2 linked regions of the Struthio camelus genome follow. Each later gene encodes a partner of the first gene's protein in a complex. Links are inferred from orthologs where the notes say so. Each region holds a gene or a part of one and is shown on either strand. Other genes may lie near its edges.

Region 1 (3,743 bases):
GCGGGATTCACGTTTTGGCTGTGACTCCTGGAAACACCCTATATGTCATCTATAACAAACTAGAGATCCCTTATAGAGCCTAAGCCAGTTCCATCGTCCATAGTCTACCTCCATATGGGACTAAAAAGCAAGGGCCGGGGTTGCAAATGAAAGGGAGCTGGCTTGTATTCAAATGGAAACACCTATGTGGCTGCCAGAGCTGCCTGCAGAGATAAGAGTGGAAAGGGTGCTGGTGTTGGTGCTCAGGAGGCACCCCCTCCTCCCAGGTGCATGGCCCAGCGAGGGTGCCAGGCTGTGGGCACTGGGCCTCCGGCAGATCTGGGCACAGAGGGCAAGTGATGAGCGGCACTGAGTGGCTGCAGGGAACCAAAGCCTAGGCCAGGGCCTTCAGAGAAGCGCTGCTTTCCAGCAGTCCACACTGCATGACTGGTCCCATGCTGAGGACTCTAACTCCAGGCCAGCATCTCTTACCCTTCCAAGCCATGAGTGCTGTCTCCTGGCTGCAGAGCACCTACATGGTGGGGGCACTGCTGCCTGTCCCACTTGCTCTCTGAGCACCCCATGGAAAAGGAAACACTGCTTTGGTGTGCTCTGAGTTCAGCAGCAGCTTCAGATGCAGTTGAAGAGCCGGGAGCAGAGCTGCAGCTCCCTGGCTCGCCTGGCCTGTGCTGGACTCAGTGCACTCTGCTGGACCCCCCTCCATAGGGTCCAGCAAGACCATTCAGCCCCCATGGGGCCAGTGCTCCTGGAGTAACATGGCAACATCTCCCACTGTACAGAAAAAGCGCATGGGAAATGCTACTCCCTTGTCCCCACCATTGCTCCCAGGAAAGGCAGGAGGAAAGGAGAGCAGGAAGCTTCAGAGCCTTGTGCACCGGGGGTCTGTGCAGCCGGGCCTTGCCCTAGGAGCCCGATACTGCCAGGAGCGGGGGGAACTGACCCAGTGCAGCCCAGTCCCACCGTGGCCCAGCCCCTGTTGAGCCCAGCACCAGGACAGCGCAGCCCGAGACCGGCCCCGGCCCCGGCCCCGCCAGCCCCCGTCCTCTGGCCCCGGCCCCGCCCCCCCAAAACCACGTGGTGGCTGCGGGACTCGGCCGGCCGCAGCCCCGCCCCCGGACGCTGACTGGCTGCGCGGCCGTTCATTTGCATGCGGGGTGGGGGGGGGGGAAGGGAGCGCGGGGCAGGACGGGAAGGGCCGGCGTTTGAAGCGCGGGGCGGCAGCGGCGGGGCGCGCGCGCCATGGCGGAGCTGGAGCCTGGGCAGGAGGAGCGGTACCGGAGGTGAGGCGCGGCGCGGCCGGCCGGTCGCGCTCTGTGCGGGTGTCCAGGGCGGCGGTGGCGGGGCCCGGTGCCGCTTGGTGCCGGGGTCGAGCTGGGCGGGGCCGGGGGGAGGCGAGGAGGAGGCCGCGGCCGCGGGGGCGGCGGGGCCTGGTGGCACTTGGTGCCGGGGGCGAGCGGGGCTGGGGAAGGGGCCGGGGCCCCGGGGGCGGCGGCGGGCTCCGCGGGCGGCGGCGGGCTCCGCGCGGTGCCCATGGCGCTTCCCGCAGGCTGGTGAGCGGGGCGAAGGCGGCGGCGGGCGGCGGGGACCTGGAGGAGGCGCTGCGGTTGTTCCGGCTGGCGGCCGCGATCCGCCCCAGCGAGAAGCTGAGTGGCCGCATGCGGCGCGTGGAGGCGGCGCTGGCCGAGGCGGCAGCGGCGGAGGAGGATGGGGAGGAGGAGGAAGGCTTCGTGGACGTGTGCGGCAGCGGACTGCTGCTCTACGGGGAGATGCACGGGAAGCTCTTCCAGCACCAGCGGGAAGGTGTTGCTTTTCTGTACCGCCTGCACCGGGAGGGCAGGCCCGGTGGCATCCTGGCTGATGACATGGGCCTGGGCAAGACCATCCAGATCATCGCCTTCCTCTCAGGCATGTTTGATGCTGACCTTGTCCAGCATGTCCTGCTCATCATGCCCACCACGCTGGTCAGCAGCTGGCTGGCAGAGTTTGCTCGCTGGACCCCTGGCCTGCGCGTCAAGGAGTTCCACGGCACCAGCAAGGCAGAGCGCACCAGGAACCTGGAGAGGGTCCAGAGGAAGAATGGCATTGTTATCACAAGCTACCAGATGCTTATTAACAACTGGAAGCAGCTTGCCAGCAGCCATGAAGAGGAGTTTATCTGGGACTACATCATTCTTGATGAAGCGCATAAAATCAAGTGTCCATCAAACAAAACGACAAAATGTGTGTATGCTATTCCTGCTAAACATCGCCTCCTCCTCACGGGTACCCCAGTGCAAAACAACCTACGGGAAATGTGGTCCTTGTTTGACTTTGCATGCCAAGGCTCTCTCCTAGGAACAGCCAAAACATTTAAAATGGAATATGAGAACCCTATTACGAGGGCAAGGGAGAAGGATGCAACTCTGGGAGAGAAAGCACTGGGCCTTAAGATATCTGAGAATCTAATGACCATTATAAAGCCGTATTTCCTCAGAAGAACTAAAGAAGATATCAAAAAAAACTGCAATGCTGACAAACTGGATGCTCCTCTTCCTGAGGATCCAAGTGAAAATAGTGCTCCTGTCATGCCGTCTCTTACTAGGAAAAATGACTTTGTTGTGTGGGTGTATTTAGCACCAATACAAGAGGAAATCTACAGGAACTTTCTCTCTCTGGATCATTTGAAAGAAGTGCTGATGACTACCCGCTCACCTCTAGCTGAGTTGACTGTCTTGAAGAAGCTGTGTGACCACCCCAGGCTTCTGTCCGCAAGAGCATGTATCCAGCTGGGCTTAGAAGGACATGAATACTCTGAGCAGGATTACAGGAGTGAAACAGGTATACTTGCAGGAGCTAACAAAATAGATCATCTGTCTGAAGAGACTGTGATTCAGGAGTCTGGGAAAATGCTGTTCCTTGTAGGACTTCTAGAAAGGCTGCGAGATGAGGGACACAGAACTCTGGTATTCTCGCAGTCGAGGAAGATGCTAGATATCATAGAGCATGTTTTATCGCGCAGACAATTTAAGATCATGCGTATTGATGGAACAGTAACCCACTTAACAGAACGAGAGAAGCGCATTAGTGCATTTCAGAATGACAAAGACTACTCTGTCTTCTTGCTCACCACGCAAGTCGGCGGCGTTGGTATAACCTTAACCGCAGCTAGCCGAGTGGTGATCTTTGATCCCAGCTGGAATCCAGCTACAGATGCCCAGGCTGTGGACAGAGCTTATAGGATTGGGCAGAAAGAGAATGTAGTAATTTATAGACTGATTACCTGTGGCACCGTGGAAGAGAAAATATATAGGCGACAAGTATTCAAGGACTCATTAATAAGACAGACTACTGGTGACAAAAAGAACCCATTTAGATATTTTTCCAAGCAAGAACTAAGGGAGCTTTTCACATTAGAAGATACTCGAACATCTGCAACTCAGATCCAGCTGCAGTCTCTGCATGCCACTCAACGAAAGACTGATGTACAGCTGGATGAACATATTGCTTATCTGCACTCTCTGGAAATGTTTGGCATTTCTGATCATGACTTAATATATACAAGGGAAATAACTCATGAGGAGCGGGCTGAGAATGAAGAAGCCCATCAGTACATTCAACAGAGGGTGCAGAAAGCCCACGAGCTAGTTCAGTTAGAGTCTCAGCTTAGAGACCAGAGGATGGAGAGAATCAGAAATGCTTCTGAGGGGACATGGCCAAGAGCACCGGAACTGGCTTCCCAGCCAAAGAAGAAGTCTCCAGGATTG
Region 2 (3,743 bases), on another chromosome or scaffold:
TGTGATCTCTGTTTTATAAATCATTGCAGCCATCAGCCCCACAAATGTGAAGCAAGAAAAAATTCTCTCGTGAAAGTGATGAAGGAAAGAACATAAAATCCTCAAGCCTGGAAGTGAATTAAACAGAGCCTACTGAATTTCTGTTTTTACAAGTACAGGCTGCAGCCTAAAACAGCACCAAATGCCAGCTTTCCTTACCTGGCAATAAGAAACACGAAAGAAGGCTTTCGCATTGCATAAAGGCAGGCAGTGTGCGGAGCAGCACCACTTCCAACCATGCCGCGAGCCTGCCACGGTGTGTCCAGAAGCGCCAGCTCATCAGAAAAATCGCCTTCTGGGTCAAGTCAGCGAGCGCGCGCGTACGGCGAACAAGTGTCATAACTAATGAGCGATTCTTCACACTTTCATCACGCGCTGCCCAAATAACGACATGAGGGATTCCTGGCAGGCGTTACGACATGGGGATTTATTTGAAGGCTTTACAGCCAGCTCCCAGCGCCAGGCCCGGTACGGCCCCTCCGAAAGGCCGCGGCCAGCGAGGGCCGGGACTCCGGGAGCCGCAGGGGCGGCCGCTCTGCCCGCGCCGGCACACACGGCGCCCGTGGGGACTCGCGGCAGGACCCGCGTGGGGCGGCGGGCGGCCGTTTCCCTCAGGTCTCCGCCGGCCGTGGGGGGTGGGGGGGGAGGAGGCGACCGTTGGCCGCGGGGCGGGAGCGGCCGTTGGCCTCACGCGCGCCGCCCCCGGCGGGGCCGCGCGGCCACGTGCTCGCCGCTTCCCGTCGCCGGCCATGGCCACGCGGTGGTGGCCGCCCGCCCGGCGGGGACACCGCCCCCCTTGCCCCCCCACGCCGTCCCCCATCTCCCGCCCGCCCGGTCGCCGCTCGGCCCCCAGCTCGGCGAGCGCAAGCTCACAGCCGCCGCCGCCGCCTGCACGTGCGCGGCCCGCCGCCGCCGCGCGACCGGCGCGGGCTGCCGGGGTGGCGGCCGTGCCGTGCGTGGCTCCCCCACCACCACCACCCCCGGGGGCGGCGGCGGCGGTGCCGGCCTTGCCACTCGCTTCCACGCGGCGGCTGCCGAGGCAGAGCGCGCCGCGTGTCCTTCGGCGTCCCCGGGCCGGGCCCACGTGCGGCAGGGGCGGCGCGGGGGGCCGGGGCCGTGCCCGCCGGCGCTGCTCGCGGCCATGGCGCGCGGCGCGGCGCGGCGCGGCTCGCTCGCGCCCGGCCGTTGGGCTGCCCCCGCGCCGCCGAGTGGGCAGCGCGCGCGCGCGCGCGCGTGCTCGCTCGCGAGGAGCGCGGCGGGGGCGGGCGCGCGCGGGGTCTCCAGTGGGAACCGCGTTCCCTGTGGCAGCGCCGGGGAGGGCGGGGGGTGGGGAAGGAGGGGGGAAGAGGAGGGGGGAGAGCGGCCTGCTCCTCCCCCCTCCCCTCCCGCCTCTGCCCCTGCCCCGGGGCGGCGGGTGGCGCTGGCCGCGGCGGCTTGGGGCTCAGTGTCCTTGTGCGGAAATGACACACGGTCCCGTCACGTCACGCGAGAGCGCAGCGCGCGGACCCTCGCACACAAAGAGCGGGGGGGAAGCGCGGGCACCAGCGGCGGCCGCTCCAGCCGCCCCCGCAGTCCCGGGGCTCCCGTGCCCCCACAGGCAGCCTAGGTAAGTCCCGCCGCCGCTCCCCGGCGCAGTGGCGGGAGGGGCGCCGCTCCGCGCAGCCCTCGGTGGGGAGCGCCGCCCCGGCGACCAGGGGAGGAACGGGGTGGGGGGGGGGGAAGAGCGAGCGGCAGGCCCGGGCCGGCCCCTCCCCCGGCCGCGGCGCGGGGCCCCCGGCGCCGCCGCCCCTCCCCCTGCCCGTGGGGCGCGGGGCGGGCGGCGGGGGAGGCAGGGGGGGCGGGGGGGGACTCTTTGTTCGTTGCTTGGAACGTTGCTATAGCGCTGCGGCTCGGGGCGCGCGGGGGCGCGCGCGCGCTCCCTCCGGGTGCCTCCATCTCCGCGGCGGCGGCGGGGGCGGGGGGGAGGAGTGGAACGGTCACGCCGCCGTCACCTCCAGCCTCACCTTAACCCTCCCTCCTCTGCCCGCGGGCCCCCCTCCCCCCCCCCGCCCGCCACATAGATCCGCCCGGGCAGGGTTCGGACCGGAAGCAGCGGCCGCCACCGCCGCCGCCGCGTCGGGCTCGTGGGTCTGACCGCGGAAGCGGCCCCGGCCGCCGCGTGCGGGGCGCGCGGGGCCGGCGTTACCGCAGCCCCCGCCTCGGGGCGGGGCCGCGGCGCCGCGCGGCGCCGCGGGTGGCTCCCACGTGGCAGGCGCTGGAGCCCGTGGGGCGCCGCCGCGCTTCCCGCTCGGGGCCCGCCGCCCCTCTGTCCCCGCGTGTGCGTGCGTGCGTGCGTGTGTGTGGGGGGGTGGAGGTGGCGGGGCCGGAGCACGTGTCCTCCGCGGGGGTGGGGGTGGGGGGTCCCGCCGGGGCGGAGTGCGACGCTGCGCAGCGCCGGCCCCCGGGAGCCCCAGAGCGGAGCGGGAAGTTGCCTTCGTCCCCCGTAGAGGGCCCGGTGCCGTCCCGGTGCCTGCAAAAGGGGGCGACTCGATGGCATGGGCGGGGATCGCGTCTGACTCGGCGTGAGTGGGTTGTGAGTGCTAGGCAAGTAACAGGGCAGAGGTGATCTCCCTCTGCCGGCGCCCGTCCTCCCCGCGGCAGGGCCGGTTGGCAGCATGCTAGTCGGTATCACAAGTTTCTAGCGTAGCTGACTGCGTGGTTCATCCCCGAGGGACCTTGCGGTGTGTATTTCCCATGATAACAGCTCTGTTCAGAAGCTAAATGGTCTTACATGTGGGCTTCATGGGAACCTTTGGAGCAGCATGTAAGCACGTGCCTTGTGAGAAGTGAGGACTTGGGTCAGACCCTTAGCTGATAAAAACCCTTAGTAACATCGAGCTGATGATTCTGTCATAATTCATCTTGGTTCTTGACCTGCAAAGAGTTGAGGGGACGCGAGAAGGCTGATGCGGAGGAATGGTCTACCTCCACCCAGCTCACCCTGTGCTTTACCCTGCTCTCTCCTGTGGTATGTCTACGCAGTCTTTTGTAAATAGAAGGGAACAAACTCTGAACCAGCAGAATGTGAGCCGGCTGCAGTCCAAGAGCCATGTGACTGCTTCCACATAGCGTTGACGCAGTCCCAGAGCCTTTGGGTTGGAGCGCAGATAGAGCTTGTCACTGGCACCTATAAGAGCAGTATAGGCCTGACGCTTGGGGCAGAGGCATTCAGATCCTTTCCCTACTTTTGCCTAATATCTGGCTGTCAGATTCTCCGTTTACTTTGATGCTTTCAGCTGGTAAAACAATTAGAAATCTATGGTAGTCGATTTTTTCTGTCTCATTAAATCAAGCTCAGCATTTGACTGACAGTACTTTTTTATCTTTGCTAAGTATTTCCATAGCTTGTTACCCAGTGAGTGAAAAATAAAGGAAAGTGTAGTGGAGTTTGAAGGGGATTTTAAATTGTCTGTAGGAAGTTCAAATGGAGCAGTATTTTAAAATAAAGTTGAAGATGAGGAGGGAGAGAACAAAGCATTGAGAAAAACAATGTTCCTAATAGACCGGGGGAAAACACTTAATTGAACAAATTGTAGTTAATGCATTACCTTACATACAGTTTATACATATAGTAGTTAATACATTGCTGAAAATAAACAAATTGCACTGATCATTCACTGCAAGATGAAATTGGTGTTTGGGAAAGTAAGGGGGACAGGTAGGGA

What was found. Proteins that work in one complex are often made in the same cells at the same time.
Region 2: the proteins of ERCC6L (region 1) and BEND3 are in contact, whole or in part, in a crystal structure (PDB 5JNO), measured with the Homo sapiens proteins. The link is inferred for Struthio camelus from reciprocal best matches to the Homo sapiens genes ERCC6L and BEND3. Residues at the interface, in NP_060139.2 of Homo sapiens: Ala10, Glu11, Ala12, Leu13, Ser14, Pro15, Glu16, Ala18, Ala19, Tyr21, Leu22, Arg23, Lys26, Phe51, Pro52, Asn53, Glu54, Lys55; in NP_001073919.1 of Homo sapiens: Glu252, Gln255, Ile256, Gln259, Leu261, Asp265, Arg269, Val272, Gln273, Pro276, Phe279, Ser280, Phe335, Arg338, Phe339, Gln342, Glu346.

Annotation. Positions count from the first base shown.
Region 1 is NC_090952.1:1,889,643-1,893,385, forward strand, and holds the start of ERCC6L (DNA excision repair protein ERCC-6-like), read left to right. Parts: upstream 1-1,177; 5' UTR 1,178-1,239; coding exon 1,240-1,280; intron 1,281-1,546; coding exon 1,547-3,743. UniProt on the Homo sapiens protein: DNA helicase that acts as a tension sensor that associates with catenated DNA which is stretched under tension until it is resolved during anaphase. Functions as ATP-dependent DNA translocase. Can promote Holliday junction branch migration (in vitro).
Region 2 is NC_090944.1:58,878,601-58,882,343, reverse strand, and holds the start of BEND3 (BEN domain-containing protein 3), read left to right. Parts: upstream 1-1,378; 5' UTR 1,379-1,645; intron 1,646-2,475; exon of another isoform or gene 2,476-3,046; intron 3,047-3,743. UniProt on the Homo sapiens protein: Transcriptional repressor which associates with the NoRC (nucleolar remodeling complex) complex and plays a key role in repressing rDNA transcription.